Linked DNA regions of Macaca mulatta. The protein of the gene in region 3 purifies or fractionates together with the protein of the main gene of each other region. This does not show direct contact. Links are inferred from orthologs where the notes say so. Each region holds a gene or a part of one and is shown on either strand. Other genes may lie near its edges.

Region 1 (3,623 bases), on a different chromosome or scaffold from region 3:
TGAAACCGACAGACCTCTGTGTATCCACTGGCTTTAACCCCACCAAACCCCACAGTACCGCTTATCAACTGACTGCAATTTTTTTTTTTTTTTTTTTTGAGATGGAGTCTTGCTCTGTCGCCCAGGCTGGAGTGCAGTGGCGGGATCTCGGCTCACTGCAAGCTCCACCTCTCGGGTTCACGCCATTCTCCTGCCTCAGCCTCCCGAGTAGCTGGGACTACAGGCGCCCGCCACCACACCTGGCTAATTTTTTGTATTTTTAGTAGAGACGGGTTTCACCATGTTAGTCAAGATGGTCTCGATTTCCTGACCTCGTGATCCGCCCACCTCGGCCTCCCAAAGTGCTGGGATTACAGGCATGAGTCACCACGCCTGGCCGACTGACTGCAATTTTTATCTTTGTTTTCTTCAGGCTTTTTTATTGTCCACTAGAGCCTTCTAGAAAGATAGCTGCAATACTGCAGGCTAAGCAATGGGGAGATGAGGAGGAAGATGAGGAGGAAGGGGAGGAGGAGAGGAGAAATGGAAATAGAGGGGAGTGATAAAGGAAAATTTAGAAGGAACAAAAGTATTTATTCACAGGCTCTGGCTGCCCCAAGGGCTGTGCAGTTCAAGAACAGTGAACAGCTGAAAACACATCTGCAGCCCATCAGTCAGTGCAGTAGCTGGAAGACTCCACTCTGGAGGATGAGGACCTAAAGCACCTTTGGAGGGGCCCTTGCATCCCCACACTTCCCATGGCGGGGGAAGTAGTAAGAACATAGTAAGTGCTCAGTAAATGTTCTCAGCTTTATAAGCTGCGGCTAGTGAGATTTATACAGTATCTCCTTGAGGTTACACAGGTTCTACTGTTTCTGCATAACCAAGAAGGAAACTGGGGTGTGCAGAAGTAGCATTACCACAACAATAGTAATATTATCAATAACCAATATTTTTGATAATACTACAATATCCTCAAACAGTGACTGAATAAGCACTATGTGCTAGGCAACTGCTCTTTTTATTTATTTATTTGAGTCAGGATCTCACTCTCTTGCCCAGGCTAGAATGCAGTGGTGAAATCACAGCTCATTGCAACTTCAAACTCCTGGGCTCGAGCAATTCTCCCACCTCAGCCTCCCAAGTAGCTAGGACCACAGGTGCACACCATTACGCCTGGGTAAGTTTTTACTATGTTGCCCAGGCTAGTCTTGAACCCTTGGCCTCAAGCAATCCTCCCGCCTCTGCCTCCCAAAGTGTTGGAATTACAGGCGTGAGCCATTGCACAGGGCCTAGGTCCTGTTCTAAGCACTTTTACATGTCAGTTCCTTTTAATTCTTAGAACAACCATACGTTGTTACTTAGTAATATACCCAAAATTTGAATCCAACTTTCATAATTCTTTTTTTCTTTTTGAGATAAGAGTCTTGCTCTGTCACCCAGGCTGAAGTGCAGTGGCATAATCTTGGCTCACTGCAACCTCTGCCTCCCAGGTTCAAGCGATTCTCCTGCCTCAGCCTCCTGAGTACCTGGGATTACCAGTGCCCGCCACCACTCCCGGCTAATTTTTGTACTGTTTTAATAGAGACAGGGTTTAACCATGTTGGCCAGGCTGGTCTCAAACTCCTGACCCCAGGTGATCCACCCACCTCAGCCTCCCAAAGTGCTGGGATTACATGTGTGAGCCACGGCGCCTGACCCAACTTTCACAATTCTTGCCATTGGATTTTCATGTATGTAATTTCCCTCTAGGTAATCCATGGGATGGAAATAAAAGGAAAACAATAAAATGTGGACAAATAACCCCTTTCCGTGTCCCCCACCCCACAGAGTAAAGCGCACGCACCTCCCTCTGTGTTGTAGCAATAGGCTGTGTAGTGTCCTGAGCCAAACCCTTTCCCGTGATGCATGACCACTGCGGAGAGATCATAGGCAAAGGTCTCTTTGTCAAGAGAGGAGAGCATGTCCCTGCAGCAGTAAGGTTCCATGGTTAATACCTGGTCAAAGACGACATGGACCCCAATCTTCTCTCGATGGTTACGGCCAGACCACCTAGAACATGGATATAAGCTTGTTACTAGTAAAAACCGGCATATACAATTGTAGGTAGAGGTAGGTATTAATAAAACAGGGAACTGAGAAAATTAAACCTTCTGGTTTTGGTCTTCCCATCAATAAAATGGTGGTAATCAATGTTCACATTTATTTATTTATTTATTTATTTATTTACAGACAGGGTCTCACTCTGTTGCCCAGGCTGCAGTGCAGTGGTGTGATCAATAAAGGCTCACTGCAGCCTCAACCTTCCCAGGCTCAGGTGATCCTCCCACCTCAGCCTCCCAAGTAGGTGGGACTATAGGTGCACACCACCACGCCTGGCTAATTTTTGTATTTTTTGTAGAGACAAGGTTTTACCATGTTGCCCAGGCTGGTCTTGAACTCCTGAGCTCAAGCAGTCTGCCTACCTTGGCGTCCCAAAGTGCTAGGGTTACAGTCATGAGCCACTGCGCCTGGCCCATTTATTTGCTGTGAATGTTCCATGAAGTACTCTAAACCTAGAGATCCCTAAACAAGCAATTCAAGCAACAGTCTTTTTGTAGTTTCCTGCCTGCCCTTCTTTTCCAGATTATTTTATATTTCATCCTGAAGATGAACCTCTACATAAGTCCAAGCCAGGCTAGAAAATCTTTAAGCACAGATACCCAGTGCAGGCTGGATAATTAATTACACAGGCGCATGACAGCAAAAGCCCAGTCCTGCTGGGCTCCCACATTAATTTGCCTTAGTGGATGTGAATGATTTAATCTCCATGGAAAACACAAGGTCTCAAGTGAACAGGCTTCCCCTCCCAACACCATAGAAGACATTTGCCCTCACCAAAGCCTTTGGAGCAGCTATTCCCACAGCTCTCACCCAGCTAGGACTCCCACAGCAAGCTCACCTGAATCTTTTAAGGTGCAGCCGGAGAACCTGAGGTAGTCTGTAGATCATTAACTGCTTTCTAGCTTCACTCAGAACAAGGGGTTTGGGATTGGATTTTCGTCGTTTGCCTATGTGGTTTGGGAAGGTATAAGACATAGGTTGTGAAGAGTTTTTTCTAGCTATGGCAGAGACAGTGACTTGCCATTCAATATGCATTCTCCATATTTCTAAGTACCTGAACCTCAATTTTTTGGGGAGTGCAATGTGACCCCCTTTATGACTGCATTTCCCGGCTTCACAAGCCTGCATGGTGTGGCCATGGAAGTTCTGGCTAAGATGAAAGGAATGACTGTATGGGACTCTGCTTATACAAGGCTGACTCACTTGTAAGGTGCATCCCTTTGGCCTTCCCACTATCTGAAACTACTGGAATTCCTCCTGGACCAAAAGGTAACTTTGAAGACAGAAGTCTTGCAACAGGATAGTAAAACAGAAAGACAGAAATAGCTTGGGTCAATGATGACCATGCAGCCACCATGCTGGCCCTGAATGTCCTTCAGACTTGTTTTATGTAACAGAAAAATAATACCTCTCATTTTAAGTCACTGTTATTTGGGTCGACTGTTACAAGCAACTCAAATCTTTCCAATTTTTGCCATCAGGAACTTTGCGTATAATGGAATATAATGGAACGTGCAACAGCAAGCACACAGAGTAGAAGC
Region 2 (4,300 bases), on a different chromosome or scaffold from region 3:
TGTACATATTTGGTATTTTTCAAACACGAATTGATTAGACATTGTTGCTATTTTGTTATCTATATTGTTAACATAAGAACTTCCTGTGTAACTATATCAGAATTTTTTTTTTTTTTTGAGACGGAGTTTCGCTCTTGTTGCCCAGGCTTGAGTGCAATGGCGGATCTCGGCTCACCACAAACTCCGCCTCCTGGGTTCAAGCGATTCTCCTGCCTCAGTCTACCGAGTAGCTGGGATTACATGCGCCCGCCACCACGCCCAGATAATTTTTGTAGTTTTAGTAGAGACAGGGTTTCACTATGTTGGCCAGGCTGGTCTCGAACTCCAGACCTCAGGTGATCCACCCGCCTCAGCCTCCCAAAGTGCTGGGATTACAGGCGTGAGCCACTGCGCCTGGCCTCTATGTCGGATCTTAATTAGCCATTTCCTGTTAGAATCCTGCCCCGCTCCTTCTTGCCTTTTCCAGTGTTTGGATAATATGCTGTGAATACCTTTGTGCACTCATTTCTTTATTCAGGTCATACCACTGAAACATACTCCCCAGAATAAAATTGATGATGAAAAGATAGGAACAATTTTATAGCTTGTCTTACATATTGAAGATTTTGCACTGCACTGATGTATTGTTAACTCTGCATGTTTGTCTTCTTTCTAAGCTCTCCTTGAAGAGTTTTTAAATTTTCAGTATACTCCACAGGGTGGCCAAAGTAGAACTGGCTCGTCATTGAGTATAGGTTCAGTTAAAAACAAAAATCTGGCTCAGAGTTGAACACAAAGAATCCAATAAATATAAATGGGTTAATTTTCAGGTACCTTAGCCTTGACTAGTTCCTGTTTTCCAGATGTCCCCTCCTTTTCCTTTTAGATATCTACTTCATTATTTAAACGGGCAATTTCGGCTTAGGCAGTTCTGGATAGCGGTGCCCCTCCTGTATCCATTCTGGAACCTCTCTCGCCCTTCTGCTGTGCAAGGAAACCCAATTCACAGCCGTCATCCCCACTGAAGTTACACCCAGGGGTCGCTTCAAGAGGGAAACGTTTTCTGTAAGAATTTCTATGCCAGTAAATTGGGGAAGGTTTTAAAGATAACGGAATTTGCCACGCGTTTCTGCCAAACAATTCGACGTTGTGTAAATCGCAGAAATTCCGGGAAGGACTAACGACGTCCGTGGATGATTCTGCGGCTCATAGGCACACAGGACACTCAGGGTTTACCCTCCCGGGTTCCGACGGCACGACAGGTGCGAAGCCCGCCCGGGGAAGCAGTGCTTGTTGTCGGCGCAGACCCACGTGCGGCGCTGGGGACCGTCTGTGGTCCCGACCCCCCCCCCCACGAGGCGCGGAAGGCGGCCGCCGGCAGGTTCTCCCTGCCCGTGCAGAGCCGGCCCGGGGGCGGGGCTGTGGGAGGGGCGGGGCCTGCCGCGCGTCACTGCTGTCGTAGCCGCCGGACCGGGTCGCCGCGGCCGCCGAACCGGGGGGCGGGGGGCCGGGGTGAGCGCTAAGATGGCCGCCCCGGCTCGGGCTGGTGAGTGTGAGCGAGGGCGCGGGCCGCGGCGACTGGCGGAGTGAGGACCCCTGCGGGAGCGGACATGCGACGGCAGCCCCCGGGCCGGGAGGCACCTGGGGGAGTATTCCCGCCGCGCAAGGCGCTGGGGTCCTGAGGGAGGGAGAGACGGGGGCTGCGGGCGCGCGGAGGGGAGCGAGCCGAGGGGCGCGCGGCGGCGACGGGTCCGGCGAATTTTGAAGTGGCCCCCTGGGAAGTTTCAGTGGGTTCTGCGGTGCTCGGCCCCGTCCCGGCGGCCGCCTCACGAGTGCCCGGAGATGCGGCGGCCAGGGGCAGCGGGCTGGAGCGGGCGAGCTGGGAGAGAACCGGCGCGGGCGAGGGCTTCGAGGACGCGGAGGGGCTTCGCGCTGACCCCGGCACGAGCGTCGCGGAGAGGCTGGCGCGGGCTGGGTGCTGTGTGGAGCACGCACTGCCCGGGTCCAGCCGCATCCTTCCCGCTGCCCGGATTACCGCGAGGGGATGCTCGAAGCCCCAGGGCGCTTCGGGAGGGCGGTTGTGGCGCTCGGTTTACCGGCGTCTTGCCCGTCTCGTCTCCATCGATCGGTCCCCGCGCTGCCGGCACCTGCTGCCGCTTAAAGATCCCAGTGCTTGAAAATCAGCTTCCTAAAGCCATTCCCGATGGCCTTAGATGGGAAAGAATGCCATATGGCTGAATTCATTATGGGGGATAAGAAATATGTCAGTGTGGGCGGAGGGGAACCTGTTAATACGTTCAAATTTAAGAGTAGGTAAGACACTATTCCCCGCCCCCATGAAAAAAGAAAGTGAAATATAGTAATTGTTTCAAATGCAAGTTTGAGCTGTTGTTAAATTCTACTGATAGCTGGATAATTTCTCGCATTTTTTATACTGCAAGCAAAACCATTTAGGAACCTTGGGAGGTTCACTTTCTCCTCAGACCAGTCCCCAAGTCCCCCACTCCCGCCACCTTTTAAGCCTTAATTGTATCTGGGCAAGTAACGGGGATTGTGAAATTTGCATGGAAATAAGACCTTCAGGTCCTGCACTTGAATTTTTTATTATCTGTTAAGTAGCTGCCTGTGGGGGTGAAGTAGGGCTGGTGACTTTTGGGGCCTGGGATTCCATTTTGAGTTGTGTTCACCACGAGCATTTGGTGTAAACAAGGAAAAAGAATGGGCTGTTCACTGTGGTGAAATTCGGAAAGCCAAATAGGAGTTAAGCACATGCTTATAGAATATTTCATAATCTCAATGAGATTCAATATTCAGTTGCCTTGAAAGAGATGAAAGTTTGTATTCTTGGAACTCTAATCGTTTTGTCCTTAATTTAGCATCTTGGGATATTTTAAAGAGCGTTTAAATGTTTTGGCACATTCAAGTTTTCTCTCCCCATTCTAGCTTTTTTCACACTAGCCATTAGTTTTGCATATGTTCGATGTCAGATTTTTCAGTCCAGTAGTTATCACTGTGGACTATCCAAATTCAAATGTAGAGATATTCTAATATTGAACAGTTAGTCCAGTGCATACAGTTTAGAAAGTTGAAATATTTTGACTACTTCGTGTTTTTCTTCCCAAATGTTAATTGTTTGAGATTTTTTTAGCTTAAAAAATTTTAAGTGATGAATGAACCCGCATTTAGTATACTATACAATGGTACACCTTTTGGAATATTTAAAATGTAGAATCTGTTGAAGATTTGGGTTAGATATTTGAAATAAATTTTCTAGCCAGTTGTCTTTCTCCCTTTTCTACAGATTTATCTTTACTACAAAAAAAGAAAGTGTCATATACACTCTACCAAACTTCTCCTCTACACACTTGAATCTTACTATTACAGCGTTTTGGTTGTGCATAGAGAATTTTTCTGCTCATTGGGTTGAGGGCAGAGGCTGTGTTTTATATGTGTATCTTTAGTAGCTGACTAACTGCTTAACGTGGAGGAAAAACCGCTGTGTAAATTTGCTGAATTGGGGTTTTGAATGGTAGAGGATACAGAAATTTGGCTTCTTGGTAGCCAAAAAAAACAAAAAAACAAAACACGTGCTTCGAAGTCTCTGTCCTTCCTGCAGTGTTAGGCAGAACAAACGTGGGTGCCAGGTTCTAATGGAGTTGTCTGGTCCAGGGAGATTAGCCAGAGGCTGGGGCAGGGGCTCAGGAGTCTAATCAAGATAGGCAATAAATCGTGTGCCCGAATAATTCTCTGGTAACGGGGGACAGTTTTGCTATTAGGCCCAGCCTAAATAGGTGACAAATAACTGAAATACAGAAGGATTCTACAAATAATGGCCTTATGGCTAAAAGATCGTTGTAAAAGTTGTAACTGATATTCACAGCAATTTTAGACACCATAAAAAAGTTTATTAGGAAGAATTCATTTTTGATGGAGTTTTACACGTCATAGGAAAAAGGTAATTTGTAGTCTAACAATATACTTGCTAGATCAGCTCATAGATGTGCTAGAATGACATAGTCTAGGCATTTTACGGACAGAGTATTTGAATTCAATTTTTCAGACCCATGGTAGGATACTCAGTATTACTCTGAATGTTTCTCTCATTGTTACAAAGTTAGCTGCAGTAGATTGACGTGTAAATATGTTGATGTGACACGATGAGAAATGTTTTGGAACAAAATTACTTGTTAAGTAGGGATGGGGGTGAGAAATTCAAATAACCTGGAGACAGAAACTGCTTTCAGTAGCTTTATCTTACAACGTGTTCAACTAGATTCAATCTTTGCTTCAGGAGAGGTATGTTAGAGACGTGAGGAAGGCC
Region 3 (4,250 bases):
GGTTCAACCACAAAGCCAGTGTTCTGGGGCTGAGAGAAGAGTTGTGGAGTGATGGGAGGGGACACGTCGTGCCAAGCTTTGGAGACCATGATGAGAACTCTGGCTCGTACTACTTGGGGGGATGATGATGACCCAAAAATTAGGAGTCTGTTCACTGCTGAAGAGGGCAAAGGGCAGAAGCTCCATTTAAAAGGTTCTAATAAGCCTCAGGCCTTTCTCTGCCTGAAAAACTTACTTTCTGCCCTCTACTTCCCTAGATTACTGCCCCAGTGCCTGGAGGAAAATCAGGTGAAGGCTAAAAGCCACGTAGACAGCTAAAGAGGGCAAACTGGACCTCCAGCTCCACTTCTGCAGGTCTGTCTCAGTCCACACAGCCCTTGCACACGCTCCCTTTTAATTCTCCAAGCATACCTCTCACTTCCAAAACTCCTGTGACTCTGCTGATGAGGGCGTCTCGGCCTGGAATGCTCCTCCTTATCTGCACTGTGTGGGTGTCAAAAAGAGTATATTTTGATGACCTCTCCCCGCCCCTCTTGCTTGCTCACATCCCCTTCACTCCTTTCAAAGTCCGTTCCCAAAGCCCCCAGTTCACCGTCCTGGGCTGTTTTTAGCCAGGTAAGACCTGAAGTGATCCTCTCTTGGAACCTGGTCTGGGGCCTACACATCTGGGTCAGTCTGGGGGTGCTCTCGAAGGGCCACCCTCAAAGAGCGAGCCTCGGCTGGATTCAGTTCCTAGGTCCCAGCCGTCCGACCTCTGCCACAACGCTCAGCAGACCCCTTCCCCTCTCCGGGTCTCAGTTGCCCCGTGAGTACAGTCCCTGCTCCAACACGCAAGGTCAATCGTCTCTGGCTGCTCTGATGCACTCGGTCCCTAACTCAGCCTTAGGTCAGCACAGAAAGCACCCGACCCGGGCGGCCCCGCAGCTCCTCACCCTCCCGCCCCGCCCAGTCGCTGACACAGGGTGGCCTCCAAGGGCAAGGCCACGACTCTTACCCGTCCGCAGGTGCCCCACTGGCTGGCCTCAGCTCGCAAGCAGGCTGCACCCACCGAACTCCAGCCCCGGAACGCCACCCTTTACTCCCCTCCCGCGTGAGCCGAGAATCAGCCGAGCTTCTTCTACCAAGAGGATTGGCCCAGCTCGGCGTCGGCTCAGCCAATTGGCGCTCACGGCTTGATCTTGCCCAATAAAGACAGGTCTCTGTCCCCAGCGTGCCCCTCCCCGCGCTGGGCCTGGGCTTTGCCAGGTTAGTCCCACCCTCTTCGGCCCTGCACCAGTAGGGAGCGGCGGCGGCGAGCGGACGCCCAATGGGGAGCGGGGCTGTGCGCGCGGGGCGGTGGGAGCGGCGCCGAATCAGTGTACACGTCGGTTGCCTAACAACCGGCCGTGGACTCCTTTGGCTATGGTGAGTGCTGCCGCTCTGTCGCGCCCCACGCCCAGAGGCTGAGCCCTTCCCAGGCCCCAGCTCGGCCACGCCGCCTCTCCTGCGCCTTTCTCGGCTTTGACGCACCAGTCCTTCCTTTGAGCTCTTTCCCGGAAGAGTAGGGTACAGACGCTAACCAACCTACTGGGCCTGCGCTTTGCTGCTGCCTCCCCTTCACCCACAACAGGCCCACACCCGCCCCTCGGGCTCCCCTGGCCTTCCCTGATCACCTCGGTGAACCTCCCTGGGCAAAAAAGACTCGAATCCCTCACAGGCCCCTGACTTTCTCAGACCTTGGCCCCCTGGCCGCCTCATTCTGCCAAAATTTCCACACAGAGCTGGGAGAAGGTGTATTGTGTTCTATTAAAGTGTTTTTTACAATTTAAATATAGGGGCATTCAGGGGATGCTGTAGCTTCTTGGAGAAGGCACGAAGGTGTCAGATGGATTGAGTTTTATTACTCGATACTGACACAATATACATCTTAACAACTTGCTAATATTTGGCCAAATCTAGAAGTAATTGGGAAGTCAGAGTGCTTACTGGGAAGCGGAGTACTGGGAGTGGGCATTGTAAGGCAGTTTCCAGAACCAGGATCCCCACATTCGGGAAGAGCTGATTATCTCTACTTATTCGCAGTCATTTTCTTGACTAGCTCTCTTTTGGGATGATTTTCAGTAAGAGGTATCCTTACTGAACAAGTGATCTCCCTGCTTCTAGAAACGACAGTAAAGAAAAGGGAGGGATAGAAGTTCATGGAAAGATTCATTGTTCTTGCCAGTAAACCCTGTTATCTTTCTTGTTAAGCAAAGCTTTGGAATTGGTTGCCATAAAATTATTTAAAACTACATATGGGTGTCTGTAACTATGTTATGTAAATATGGACTGTACGATATATTATTGTGCTTGTGTATTGCATAACGTATGAAGGCCTCCAACTTTAAGAAGACAAACATGGCATCAAGTTCCCAGAGAAAAAGAATGAGTCCTAAGCCTGAGCTTACTGAAGAGCAGAAGCAGGAGATCCGGGAAGCTTTTGATCTTTTCGATGCGGATGGAACTGGCACCATAGATGTTAAAGAACTTAAGGCAAGCTCTATGCATTCCTGCCGTACTGCCCTTCCTTTCCTCTGCCTCTTCCTTGTCATCTCCCTATCACCTCTCTACCCCTTTTGCCCTCTTCTCCCTGCAATAAGTAACAGGGGAGGTTGTACTGTGCTCTGTTTTCCTGTCTTTACTTAGAGTATTATTAAATAAAATTGATTGCAAATGTCAATTAGATCAATGTTATAGTGTTCCCCAATCATATTAACATGACCACATCAGATGCTGGCTTAATGCTCTCAACACTGTTGTTTTTGCTGCTGCTAGTTCAGATGTGCTTATTGAGACAATCCTGTTTTCATTATAGGTGGCAATGAGGGCCCTGGGCTTTGAACCTAAGAAAGAAGAAATTAAGAAAATGATAAGTGAAATTGACAAAGAAGGGACAGGAAAAATGAACTTTGGTGACTTTTTAACTGTGATGACCCAGAAAATGGTGAGTAGCTAAGACAATTTGCATGGTATGGCGCCCCAGTCATCTGCAGAGGCCCATGGCATCTGCCTGTTAAAACAGTCATGTGACCACAGAGCAGTCCAGGTAGCAGCTGCATCAGGAGGCCTGCCCTCCCATCATGTTACCTTGGGCTCCCAAAACAAGCCCTTGTACTTCTTTCTCAAGACTTCCAAGCAGATACCTCTTCCCACAGAATTCTAAACCAGTTAGGAAATAGATATGGGATAGGGAGAGATATAGGGATAGGGAGCAAACGTCACCTTGGATGGAGTGCCTGGCTTGACTGGTGTTTCTCTGAGGCCAAAATGGGCTTCCTGACACTTGCTGCAAGTCTAGACTCGAGTTACATTGTTAAAAAGGAAAGGGTGACCTGACCGGGCAGTGGCAGGGCTACAGGACATGAGTAACCATGGTGTCCCCCTACTCATGTGTTTCATGTTCTATTTGGTAAGTCTGAGAAAGATACCAAAGAAGAAATCCTGAAAGCTTTCAAGCTCTTTGATGATGATGAAACTGGGAAGATTTCGTTCAAAAATCTGAAACGCGTGGCCAAGGAGTTGGGTGAGAACCTGACTGATGAGGAGCTGCAGGTTTGTAATGCATCACACTGGAACTTAAGATTCCCACCTTTGGGCCCTCTGTGACTTTTCTGTTACATTTTCCCTAGTGTGAGCACTTCTTTGAAGGAAAGCCAGTGTACTTTGTCCCTCTGTGGACAACTGAATTCTCCTTTAATAGTCAGACAAACCTATGAACGCTGCTTCCAGAAAAATGCACATAGGCACAGTTTTGCCTACTATTTTACATTCCAGGAATCCCTCTAGTCAAGGTAATCTTCAAGCTCCCTCCCAGGTGATAATGTTTGACAAAGTATGAGTTGGTTTTCAAATAAGTTTTCAGGAACCAAGCTATTATCAGGAGTGGCATACTGGCATTGGGTGGACTACAATTATCTATTCACATAGTGTTATTAAAAGTCTATTGCTTGCCAGGCACAGTGGCTCATGCATGTAATCCCAGTACTTTAGGAGGCTGAGGCAGGAGGATCGCTTGGGGCCAATAATTTGAGAGTAGTGTGGGCAGCATAGAGACCCCGTCTCTAAAAAGAGTCATATTACTTAGTCACCTTTTGGCATTAGTTTATAAATTAATCTAACCTGAATCTTTACTGTCATATAGGAAATGATTGATGAAGCTGATCGAGATGGAGATGGAGAGGTCAGTGAGCAAGAGTTCCTGCGCATCATGAAAAAGACCAGCCTCTATTAAG

What was found.
Region 1: the proteins of centrin-2 (region 3) and USP49 purify together in Homo sapiens (affinity purification with mass spectrometry; 3 studies listed by BioGRID and IntAct, with this or other methods). This does not show direct contact. The link is inferred for Macaca mulatta from reciprocal best matches to the Homo sapiens genes CETN2 and USP49.
Region 2: the proteins of centrin-2 (region 3) and USP44 purify together in Homo sapiens (affinity purification with mass spectrometry; 4 studies listed by BioGRID and IntAct, counting the BioPlex papers as one, with this or other methods). This does not show direct contact. The link is inferred for Macaca mulatta from reciprocal best matches to the Homo sapiens genes CETN2 and USP44.

What each region holds. Positions count from the first base shown.
Region 1 is NC_133409.1:140,375,238-140,378,860, reverse strand, and holds part of USP49 (ubiquitin carboxyl-terminal hydrolase 49), read right to left. Parts: intron 3,030-3,623; coding exon 2,921-3,029; intron 2,032-2,920; coding exon 1,826-2,031; coding exon of another isoform or gene 1,728-1,825; exon of another isoform or gene 1,545-1,727; intron 1-1,544. UniProt on the Homo sapiens protein: Deubiquitinase that plays a role in several cellular processes including transcriptional regulation, cell cycle progression or innate immunity.
Region 2 is NC_133416.1:102,884,544-102,888,843, reverse strand, and holds the start of USP44 (ubiquitin carboxyl-terminal hydrolase 44), read left to right. Parts: upstream 1-1,395; 5' UTR 1,396-1,525; intron 1,526-4,300.
Region 3 is NC_133426.1:159,105,933-159,110,182, reverse strand, and holds the start of centrin-2, read left to right. Parts: upstream 1-1,377; 5' UTR 1,378-1,401; coding exon 1,402-1,404; exon of another isoform or gene 1,405-1,770; intron 1,771-2,352; coding exon 2,353-2,511; intron 2,512-2,833; coding exon 2,834-2,962; intron 2,963-3,432; coding exon 3,433-3,570; intron 3,571-4,159; coding exon 4,160-4,249; 3' UTR 4,250-4,250. UniProt on the Homo sapiens protein: Plays a fundamental role in microtubule organizing center structure and function. Required for centriole duplication and correct spindle formation. Has a role in regulating cytokinesis and genome stability via cooperation with CALM1 and CCP110.